Mus musculus: one gene and its partner. The protein of the gene in region 1 purifies or fractionates together with the protein of each later gene. This does not show direct contact. Links are inferred from orthologs where the notes say so. Each region holds a gene or a part of one and is shown on either strand. Other genes may lie near its edges.

What was found.
Region 2: the proteins of Ssrp1 (region 1) and Leo1 fractionate together in Homo sapiens (co-fractionation; 3 studies listed by BioGRID and IntAct, with this or other methods). This does not show direct contact. The link is inferred for Mus musculus from reciprocal best matches to the Homo sapiens genes SSRP1 and LEO1.

Annotation. Positions count from the first base shown.
Region 1 is NC_000068.7:85,035,069-85,040,973, forward strand, and holds the start of Ssrp1 (FACT complex subunit SSRP1), read left to right. Parts: upstream 1-2,051; 5' UTR 2,052-2,260; intron 2,261-2,382; exon of another isoform or gene 2,383-2,462; intron 2,463-2,707; exon of another isoform or gene 2,708-2,725; 5' UTR 2,726-2,847; coding exon 2,848-2,901; intron 2,902-3,284; coding exon 3,285-3,470; intron 3,471-4,805; coding exon 4,806-4,911; intron 4,912-5,196; coding exon 5,197-5,387; intron 5,388-5,490; coding exon 5,491-5,721; intron 5,722-5,850; coding exon 5,851-5,905. Other genes in the region: P2rx3 (P2X purinoceptor 3), read right to left, coding at 113-231. UniProt on the Homo sapiens protein: Component of the FACT complex, a general chromatin factor that acts to reorganize nucleosomes. The FACT complex is involved in multiple processes that require DNA as a template such as mRNA elongation, DNA replication and DNA repair.
Region 2 is NC_000075.6:75,438,941-75,444,845, reverse strand, and holds the start of Leo1 (RNA polymerase-associated protein LEO1), read right to left. Parts: upstream 3,323-5,905; 5' UTR 3,269-3,322; coding exon 3,211-3,268; intron 1-3,210. UniProt on the Homo sapiens protein: Component of the PAF1 complex (PAF1C) which has multiple functions during transcription by RNA polymerase II and is implicated in regulation of development and maintenance of embryonic stem cell pluripotency.

The DNA.
Region 1 (5,905 bases):
CAAAGTGTTTCCCAGAGAAGAGGGTCTAGGAGCTGCAGAGCAGCCTTGGGAGAGGGAGGGAAGGACATCAGGTAGCCCTTCTGTCCCACCATCCGAAGGACCATGGACTCACCCCACAAAGTAGGAGATAATCAGCAGCTGAACGGCTCGGTTGATGATCCCAATGGTCCAGCTTTTCACAACCACCGACTTGGTAGTCTCGTAGGTGAAGAAGTCTGATATACAGTTCATACTGAGAAAGTGCTCACAGCCACCCAGAAAGGCTGTGGATGCAGCCCAAGGAGAGAAAAGACCTCAGGACTGGGAGACAGAGATCAAGAACTGGAGTGGGCTGCTTAATGGGGCTTGAGGAAAAGAGCCAGTTCCTATAAGCCAGGCAACTGTAGTCCAGTGCCTCGTCTCTCCTCTTGACACTCTAGAAGCCAACAGTCCAGGGCCAGGGCGGTGGACCACCTTTTTATTCATCTTCACTCCACTCCCCTGTGATGTCACAGCAGGGGTGGGGTCTCCAATCCCGGGCTCCAGATTGCCTGAGATGCAGCTGGCTAGGGCCCTCTGGGACTTATGTTTCATCTGCACTCTGTCTACTGTTTCTATTCTGTTCTCTTACGCGGCATCTCTATCCCAGCTCACCAGCTGCTTTGTATTCTCCAAAGCCCCTTGTAACTGCCCACTCTTGAGTTAGCTCATCTGCCTGAGCCAAGAACTCCACTCTTGAGTGTCTGTCGATTTCTATCTAATAGCACAAATAGGGAGAAAGGGTTCTTGACAGTTCTGTGTCTCCTGGGAGGAAGACACGCATTTCTTACCATCTCCTCCTCTCTGCCCTCCAGCATCTCATTATGTTGTCTAACTTGTTATGTTGCCATGTTTCAAATTCACAATCCTCCTGCCCCAGTCTTTGAGTGTTGTGATTACAGATTTGTAATACTACAAAGCGGAAAGTCGCTTATTTCTAACTCTAGTTGGTTGCAACTCTTCAAGTTGCACAGAAATTACTGAACTCCCTCTCTTTTTAAACCCCGAAGTTATTAAAATCTTTTGTTAGGGTATGTGCTCCTAAGAGGCTGGGCTATTTTAACGATCTTCAACAGTTTTGTCAGATCCTAGAAACGTGCTGCATTAATAGGTTTTCATTATGTCTTAAGCCCAGTTTGACTTAGCTAAATAGTGCTAGCAATGATAGTGGTTAAAGCCACAAGCACCGAATGACAAAACACATTTTTATCTATATCATATCCCAGGACTGAGTTAGCAAGTCAGTGCAGTGATATTTCAGGGAAACTGTGGGCTTATCCTGTCTTTGTGTAGGACATATGCTAGCAATCACTCTAAACCCTGAACCCTCATGATTATAAAAGGCTGATGTTAAAGAGTCTGTGTTCTAGGTTCCAGTTTTGATGGTAATGGACTGACACCCAGTCGCAAATCTTTTGTGGTCTCATTTTTCTCATCTGTAAAATGAGATAAACTCAAGCATCTCTGTCAGACCTGGCTTCAGATTTTGCAAGATGCACTCCGGTGCTATGTGAGGCCATCCGGGCTTCTGCCAACGTAGGCTGATGTGATTTCAAGTAAGTTCTAGCTCAAAGGTAAATCCGACACCACCACTTGAATTTAATGCAGCCATCTGCTAGGCTCTTCCTGAGAACCCACAAATTAGGGATATGGACAGGATAGTGTTGGGGGTAGGTGAACTCACTGCAGAAAGGATCTGATCTACTTGCCAGGGTACAGCTGGAAAGCAAGCACAATCGCCGACACCCGCATCTCCTTTGCAGCTAGTGGGGCTACACCTCTGTATTTTTCTTGTTCAACAGACTCCTTCCCAGATTATTTCACAGGAGGGAGGGGCGTGCATGATTCCAACAAACATACAAACCTGAACACCTAATAAAACCGCATAATTTCCCTTCGGAATCTAGTCTTTGAAGAGCAGCTTGTAACTTTCTAAAGAGTGTTCCCGTTTTCTAGTCAAGAATTCAGCCGCGTGGGATTCCATAGCAAGCCTCTCGCTTTAGCCGACCAGGGGGAGTGCCGACGCTCTAGGCGAATGTACCCGTTGGTCGGCCCGGATGATGCCGTTCTAGCCAAGTCTTCCTCTCTATGGTCCGTGCGCGACTTCCGGTGGCGGGACGCGGGGCTGCGCACGCGGGAAAAGCTTCCCCGGCATCCCTTCCCCCGCATCCCTACCCCCTCCCCTGCGTCCCCCTGCGCCCACCGCCCTCACTGTGCCGTCGCGAGGCTGCAGCTCTTAGAGGTGGGTGGTCGCGATCCCTGGGCCCCTGGTGTGCATGGGCCCCGCTCCCCCGCGGGACGATCGGAATGGATCGATCCGCGTTCAAATTCGCGGGCAATGGGCGAATCCATTTTAAAAGAAGGGGGAGAAACGTAGATTCACGCGGGGCCCCGGGGTGGTGGGGTCTCTGCGATCAGGACACTACCCTCTGAGCGGAGTTGAGGTGCGCTCTCTGAGCGGGTCTCAGGTTCCGCCGATTGTTGCCGTGCCTGTCCGTGGAACGTACCGAGAGGGTGTCGGGTTGGGGTGTAAGCGCCACTATAGGCCTGGTTCTGCACCTAGGGTCCTGGGCCTTGGCCTCAGGAGCCCTGCAGAACGGGTCAGTAAGATCCCCAGGCAGCAAAGAACTTGAGACATACCAGGTACATGGCTGAGCGGAGTAAGGTGGCGTTGTTTCTTGCTTATCAGTCTCCTTCCCGAATTCAGATTCCCACCCTGCTGGACATCTACACAACTAACCAGGAATTGGGGCACAGCATCCAGAGAAGGGTTCGTTTTCTCTGGTGCAGCCTAGGGCTGTGTGCTCAGGCCACCACGGGCAGGTGAACATGGCAGAGACATTGGAGTTCAACGACATCTTCCAGGAGGTGAAAGGGTCCATGGTGAGAATGGCTTGGGCAAAAGAAAGGCAGAGAGGGGGAAAGAGTTCGAATCTATGAACGAAAAGCTTAACTCTGACTACTTTTTTGGAAACAGTGTATCAGTGTGTCCCCCAAGCGAAAACGTGAGCAAAGTCTCAAAGAGTTGCAAGATGTTGAGTTTGTTGAGTTGTATTAGAAAACCAGGAAACTGGGGCCCTTACAGGGTTTCTGATGCCAGAGCCAAGCTTGCAGTCTAGACTTAATGTCTGTTGTGTCTTTTAACTTGATTTCACCACGACCGCTTTTCAATTGATACTCTGGCCATCCTGCATCCCATGGGTAAGGGGTAGAAAGGATCCACTACACACTACCCTGTTCTGATTTTGGGTCTGTATTTTGGGCAGAATGATGGGAGGCTTCGATTGAGCCGTCAGGGTATCATCTTTAAGAACAGCAAGACGGGCAAAGTGGACAACATCCAGGCTGGGGAGTTGACAGAAGGCATCTGGCGTCGGGTAGCATTAGGCCATGGGCTTAAACTGCTCACAAAGAATGGGCATGTCTACAAGTACGATGGCTTCCGCGAATCGGTGAGCGATCTTGTTCTGTGACCCACTTTCTTTGTAACTGCCTTGTCTTTTTTTATTTTTAATCTTCTAGAGACAGTTGGCGTTTCTCTGATAATCATGTTACTGCTCATTTGGGTTCCTCGAAGCAAGGCTGTTGGAGACTATTGAACAAAACAAACAAACAAAAAAAACAGTGTTGTGTATTCAGTACACGTGTCGTGTACCTGGACTCCAGGAGGTTTTCTACCATCTTAACTTATACCATGGTTTCCACTTGCTCCCTCTGTCCTGGCTCAGCATCTTAGCTTGGTGCTCTAGGATTTTGCTTTTCCATTTTGAGCTGCTTTTGAGTTACTTGGTTTTAATATTCACTTTCATCAAAAGATCACCTACACAAAGTTTAGAAACTCAGGTGATGCATGTATCTGGGAATTTAAGTTTCTTTACTACTCTTAGCCAGAGGCCCAGAAAAAAAGTTTTTGTGGTTATTGTTAAAAAATATTTTCAGGGTCTGGAGAGATGGCTCAGTGGTTAAGAGCACTGACTGCTCTTCCAGAGATCATGAGTTCAATTCCCAGCAACCACATGGTGGTTCACAACCATCTGTAATGGGATCTGATGCCCTCTTCTGGTGTGTCTGAAGACAGCTTCAGCGTACTCATATATAAAATAAATAATTTTATTTATTTATTTATTTATTTATTTTTGACAGGGTTTCTCTGTGTAGCTCTGGCTGTCCTGGAACTCACTCTGTAGACCAGGCTGGCCTCAAACTCAGAAATCCACCTGCCTCTGCCTTCCAAGTGCTGGGATTAAAGGTGTGTGCCACCACTGTCTGGCATAAATAAGTCTTAAAAAATAATTTTCATTCGTTAAAAAGTATTTATTTTATCTGTATGAGGCTTTGCTAGCTTGTGCACCATGTGCATGCCCGGTGCCCACAAAGCTCAGAGGAGGGCATTGGATCAGCTGGAACTAGAGTTACAGACAGGTGTGAACCACTGTGGGGCGCTGAGAAGGACTCCAAGGTCTTCTGGCAAGAACAAGTACTCTTAACTGCTGGGCCATCAGGTCTCTAGCACTTAAAAGGTTTTAAGCACAAAGGTTAAGGGAAGGAAAGAGGCTTGGAAGAAGGACATCCTTGAAGAGTAGGGCAGAAGGCATCTGGGTTCTAGAAACAGTCTCCACTAACAAAGGGAAATTGTTTTGAAACAGTTTTGGAGTTGGTATACTCAGTTAGCTGAAGTTCCTGAGGAAGATACATTGGTGACCTGAGCTAGAGACTCTCAGGACCTGTTAGTTGTGTTGAGACCCAGAGGTTTAACTGGATCTGCATTTTCTCCGTTTGATTTACAGGAGTTTGAGAAACTCTCTGACTTCTTCAAAACTCACTATCGCCTTGAGCTAATGGAGAAGGATCTGTGTGTGAAGGGCTGGAACTGGGGGACAGTGAAGTTTGGAGGTGAGTGGGCAAGCTTGAGGTTTGGGGAGAAGGTGGGGTGAAGGAGGGCCTCAGATGGTACCTTTCTGTACTCTTTCCTTGGTTCTGATTGCTAATTTCAGTTTGTGTGTTTAGCATGGGTTTCTCCAGCATGTACGGTCCATCAGGCACTGTGCCTGGTTTTGGTACGGTGTGAACAAAGTTCCTCCAGTCCTCTGACCTCGCTCACGGGCCTCAGGACTGGTGGGGATGCTTCCGAAGCCTCTCGGGGAGGAGTCTGCGATGTGACAGGCTCTTTCCTTACAGGACAGCTGCTTTCTTTTGACATTGGTGATCAACCAGTCTTTGAGATACCCCTAAGCAATGTGTCCCAGTGTACCACAGGCAAGAATGAGGTGACCCTGGAATTCCACCAGAATGACGATGCTGAAGTATCTCTCATGGAGGTGCGCTTCTATGTTCCTCCCACGCAGGAAGATGGTGTGGACCCTGTGGAGGTGAGGTTTCTTCACGTTGGGCTGGTGGAGGTTGCTGAATAGACTTTGGCTGGCTGGCCTGGGAGCAGAGGCCAGCTGTTTGAATACCCACCTGTGTTCACAGGCCTTTGCCCAGAATGTTCTGTCAAAGGCAGATGTGATCCAGGCCACCGGAGACGCCATCTGCATCTTCCGGGAGCTGCAGTGTTTGACTCCTCGCGGTCGATACGATATCCGGATCTACCCTACCTTTCTACACCTGCATGGCAAGACCTTTGACTACAAGATCCCCTATACTACAGTTCTCCGTCTCTTCCTGCTACCACACAAGGATCAGAGACAGATGTTCTTTGTGGTGAGCAAACCCCTCATGGGGTGCCTGGTTTTGCCTAAGTTTTTAGTAGATAAAGGTCATGCTGCCTAGAGGTCCGTGTTGTTCAGTCGCCTGGGCTTCAACGCAGCCGTGCCCGCTTGTCCTTTTCAGATCAGCTTGGATCCTCCCATCAAGCAGGGCCAAACTCGTTACCACTTCCTGATCC
Region 2 (5,905 bases), on another chromosome or scaffold:
TTCTTAGACATGAAATAAAACAGTAAGCAGCCCTACATTCTGGTACAGGGAGCACTGCTTGGTTCAGAGTGACATCCCCGCCACTGTGATGAGAGCCCCCCCATCTCCTCCTCACTGCTGTCAACAGTTCTTTGTTACTGGGCGGTCCTGAATCACCTCTTTCATCTTGATCACTTTCTTGACCAGCAGGTAGTGGTCCCTGTACCCGAAATGCAGCAGGAAGAGAAAAGCAAACAGAGCAGAAGTATAGAAAAACAATTGTACACAGTCCCATCAGAGCACCACATATGCATTATGGAGTGAAGAATGTAGTGTTTTGGTTTGTTTACAAACCCCAGTTATGTCATATGAGTATGTTTTTGTTTAATCCCAGGTGTGGACTATGGGGCTGCTTCAGTTTGCCTGCAGCCATTAACCATGATTGTCTCCTGCTCTAGGAGGGGTGTGATTTTTGCCAGATAGTTTAACTCTGGGGACTCTGGGGAGGGTATAGACACAGAGCCCCGAGAGAGCAGAGGGCACTCTGGGAAAGCTGCTGCTCCTGATTGCTGCTGCGGTTTGTAAAGTAATCATGAACAAAGTGAGCAAAGAGATGAAAAGAAGAAGTTGTAGATATCCTGATGACAGAGACCGGATGGATCCAAGGACCAGTATGACCTTAATCAGTACAAAGTCGCCTACAGAGGTCTGCACCCCCTTTTCCCTCTTTCTCACCTTCTTTCTCTCCTACCTAATGCTGGGGGGGGGGGGAAGGGCGTGGAAAGGGACCAAAGTGGAGAAGGGTTGGAAGGGAGGTAGAGGTATAAGAACACAATCAAATAGTAATACAAATATGCCAACAGAAGAAGGTAATAGCTAAAGAAATAATGACCCAAATAGAACGAATCTAACATCCGAGAAGTTTAATTAATGCCACATTGAAAAACCTTAAGGAATCCACAGCTAAACATATCAAGTTGTCAAAAAAACAAAAACAAACCCTTGAGCCGGGTGTGGTGGTGCACACCTTTAATCCCAGAGGGAGACAGAGGCAGACAGTCTGAGTTCAAAGCAAGTTCCAGGACAGCTAGGGCTACATAGAGAAACCCTGTTTTGAAAAAACAAAAACAAAAAGAAAGTAAGAAAGCCCAAAGTAGATAATCAATAAAACCAGTAGTTTAAAACCAGTAGTTGGATTTTTTTTTCCTCCATTAAATAAGTTCTTGTAGTCTCAGTTGGCCTGCCTGCAACTGGTTATGTAGACCAAGCCTCAAACTTGTGCCAATCCTTCTGCCTATTGTCTTTTGAGTTTTAGGATTACAGAGATGTACCATCATGCCTGGCTAACAGTTCATTCTTTAAAAACATTAACAAAATTAAACCATTAGGCAGACTGTACAAGAAAAAAAAAAGCAAGACTCAAATTACTAAAGTCAAGAATGCAAGTGGGGATGACATTATAGACCTTACAGAGTCGATGATTATAAACCATAAACAATGCTAGAAACCTAGACATACTCCTTCTGAGGTCAAGAACAATATCTACTTCTGCAAGTCCCATTCGACATCATAAAGAGAGTACCAGCCATAGCAAGGTAAATAAATAGGCAAGAGAAAGAAACAGTACAACTATCTCTAATCACCATGGCATGGTTTCACATGTAGAAAACCCTAAAGGAGCCACAAAAACAATGACAGAAAACATATCAGCATCAGGATAGCATCAAGTCACAAGATCAACGTATAGCAGAAATAGAAAATAGGACGTAGTAGTACTAGCTGGAAGTGGAGGTACACATCTAACTAAGACCAGCACTCACTGAGGAAGTGGAATCGGGAGTATAAAGCCAACAAAGGCAACATACACAGCAGATCCAGTAGAAGAAAGAGGGGGAAAGAAAGGGAAGGAGGCACGCAGGCAGGTAAGCAGACAATCAGGCAGACCTACCAAGTTCTACCCTGTCACATCCGTAGCAACTTCAAGACTAAGAGCAGTTGTCAAAGACAGGACACCAGACCCTGAAAGTCAGTCTTGGAGAGTCCACTAACTCAATGGTAAAATGGAAGAAAACTGCCATGACCTTAAAAGAAGTTTTTAAAAGGGAAGAAAGGGGAGGGGAAGAAAGCGTAGAACTGCAATCATCTGTACACTCCACTTCCCTAAGCTATGGGTGGCTATGAGAAAGCACTACAGGTACATCTTACTAAACGACGCTTTCACCAGTGGATGCAAAAAAGCACTAAGCGTTAAGCACTAAGCTGGGGAGCGGGAACCTGTCTTCTCATGATTACATTCCCAACCCCTAGCAAGGTGGCCAGGAGATGATAGGGATCCTTGTTTACTGAATGAATGAAACGCTTCATGGAAAACATGGGAAGGTGTACACAGAATTGTGCCTCGAAGACACAGAGAATAAACTATGAGCAAAGCCGGGCACAGGAAGAGTTTAGTTCTCTGTACTTTTACTTAGTGCTCCCTCCACAACTGGAGTAATTACATACAAACTGGAGTTGGTGACGAATGGGGGGAGGGGCAAGGAAAATGACATGTATAGAAGTTAATTTGGGCCTGGGGGGGCTGCAAGAATTCTGAAGTTCATCTCGGATCTTTCCTCATTCTTCTATTCACATCTCAAATTCAGATATTCGTAGACCTGTGCCAGAAATGCCCCCCATGAACCATCATTCATTCATTCATCACCAAATCCTGTCACTCCTCTCCAAACACTCCACAAGTTTCCCCATTCTTACATCACAGACAAGGAAACTGGCTTTCCGCACAGGCTCTCCAAGGGCACCCATCGCCAGTGCGTAGTCCTTCTGTAGAACTCCAACCTGATCCCTCCCAGACCCTTCAGGGGCATCTACACTCTCCCATCAACTCGCCCTTTCACACGGGGCGTTACCGCGCCCGATGGGCAGTTGAACATGTCTCCACTCATTCACTGCCAGCCACCCTTTCAATTGGCCATGTATGCACGGAGGGGCGCAGGCCACACGTCCTCCCTTCTGCTCCCCCAGGAGTCCAGGCCGGTCCCTGATCCTCCAGGCACTGACTCCGCGGCGGTCTCCCCGGGAGAGGCGGGCACCGCCGGGCATGCAGGGGGCGCTGGGCAAGAGCTTGGGGACTTCGCGTTGCCCGGCGCCGCGCCTCCGGCCGAAAAGCAACCCGACGCCCCATGTGCCCATCCGCGGAGCTCGCCCGCCCGCCCGCCCGCCCGTCCGCCGCACCTTTGCGCTCGGCCTCGCTCTCAGCTTCGCTCCCGAAGAGGTCCTCCATGTCCGCCATAGCAGCTTGGTCCGCGGCCTTGGCTTGCTCGGCTCGAGCCTGCTTTACGGCCAGACCCGTCCAAACACGACGTGTCGTAAAGAGCCGCACAAAGACCTACTTTACTTTTGTGACCTAGTTTTCTCCAGCACTCGGCTGGCTCCGCCCCCACCCCCTCCACCCCCGCCCCGGTGTCTGCGCTCGCCCGCTACTCCGTTAGCCCGCTCGCACGCTGTGCGGAGCTTGGGATGCGGGTCAGACTTGTTTACGACCTGTCAGCTGCGGCCAGGTTTCTTAAAAATAGTTGAGGGTGGGTGTGGTCGCTCTGCTCTGGGGAGGCAGATCTCTGTGAATACCAGGCCAGGTTCGTCTACAAAGCGAGTTCCAGCCAGCCAGCCAGCATATGTCTACATACGTAGATCCTGTGGCAGAAGAATAAGAAATAAGTCATTGAGAGCTCTAGCCTGGAGTAGTTAGTGGTGCACGCCTGTAATCCAGCACTCTAGAAGCAAAGGGTCAGAAACCCAAATTCATCATCAACTGCATAGCAACTTCAAGAGCAGCGTGGGATCCTTGAGAACCCCCACCCTTAAAAAAAAAAAAAAAAAAAGGGCTGGTGAGATGGCTCAGTGGGTAAGAGCACCCGACTGCTCTTCCAAAGGTCTGGAGTTCAAATCCCAGCAACCACATGGTGGCTAACAACCATCTGTAATGAGATCTGACTCCCTCTTCTGGAGTGTCTGAAGACAGCTACAGTGTACTTACATACAATAAATAAATAAATCTTTAAAAAAAAAAAAAAAAAAAAAAAAAAAGACCTGGTGAGATCGCTTGTCGGTAAATGACTTGCCCTTAAAGACTAAAGATCTGTTTTCCGAAAATCCAGCACCTACTTAAACTCAGGCACGGCTTCCAACATCTGTAATCCCAGCTCTCAGGTCCAATAAAGGACCTTGTCTTAAAATACAGATGCTGGATGGTGGTGTCTAGGCCAGCCTGGTCTACATAGCGAGTTCCAGGACAGCAGGACAGCCAGGGCTATACATAGAGATTCTGTCTGGGGGAAAAAAAATAAAAAAAAGTAAGGTGCTGCCTGGTGGGGTGAAGAGCATTTCAAGAATACACTGGAAATCGGCCTTTGGCCTCTAGGCACATGGAAAGTAGCTCTGTACAGAGCTTGCCTATTATGAGTGAGGGTTCAAATTCAATCTGCACTGGGGAAAAATAAAAGATTTAGGACTAGAAATCCCAATATGGGAGGCTGAGGCAGGAAGACAACTGAGAATTTGAGGCCAGCTGGGGCCACAAAGACAGCCTGGATTACTAAGGATGAAGCTTTCAGTAGTATTAGGTTAGTTTCTGGCAGTATTTGCTCATTTCTGATCTCTTCTTTAAATTACATTTATTAAAATAAATTTATTTTTAATTTTATTTCTTTAAATGTGCATGGGTGCTTTACTTTGCATACATATCTGTGCACCACATGCATACCTGGTACCTGAAGATGTCAGAAAGGGGCATCAATCACATTACCTGGGACTGGAGTTAGAGACAGCTGTTACCTTCCATGTGAGTGCTATGAATCAAACCTGGGTCCTCTGGAAGAGCAACCAGTGCAACCCAGCCAGTGTTCATAACCACAGAGCCATCTCTCCAAGTCTCCATTTCTAAGCTTTTTTTAAAAAGATTATTTATTTTATGTATATGAGTACACTGTAGCTGTACAGATGGTTGTGAGTCATCATGGGGTTGCTGGGAATTGAAATCAGGACCTCTGCTTGCTCCTTCCCCACTTGCTCCAGTCCCACACACTGTAGCTGTCTTCAGACACACCAGAAGAGGGTGTCAGATCTCATTACAGGTGGTTGTGAGCCACTGTATCATGCTGGGATTTGAACTCAGGACCTCTGGAAGAGCAGTCAGTGTTCTTAACTACTGAGCCATCTCTCCAGCCTATCTCTAAGCTTTTTTGGTTTTAGAATTATAGATAAGGGATTATAGATCAACATACCTATAAGATGGATATGGTTCTCAACATGTGGGTTGCAACTTCCTTGACAAATCTTTCTCTCCAAAAATATTTATGAGTCACAATAGTAGCAAGAAAAAGTTATGAAGTAGCAACCAAAATAATTTTATGGTTGGGGGCCACCACACATGAGGAACTATATTAGAGGGTCAAAGCATTAGGGAGGTTGAGAACCACTGCTAGAAGATATATTCTACTATATTACTGTTTTTTATGTGTGAAAAATGGGAGGAAATAGACTGTGGCTGTTGATAGCCTACCCAATATGATCTGCTTGGCCATAATGTAAATAATCACTTAAAATTCATCAGCAGTTTTAGATTTGTGTTAGGGGTGTGGGGTTTCAGAAATGGCTCTGAGTGCTGGGACCATAAGTGTTTCACATTTAACTTATTTTATTTCACTTTAGAGACAGGATCTCATGTAGCCCAGACTGGCTTCAAATTCTTTTTGTGGCTGAAGCTGGCCTATTGAACTTTTTTTTTTTAAAGATTTATTTATTATATGTAAGTACACTGTAACTGTCTTCAGACACACCAGAAGGGGGCATCAGATCTCATTACAGATGTTTGTGAGCCACCATGTGGTTGCTGGGATTTGAACTCAGGACTTCCAGAAGAGCAGTCAAT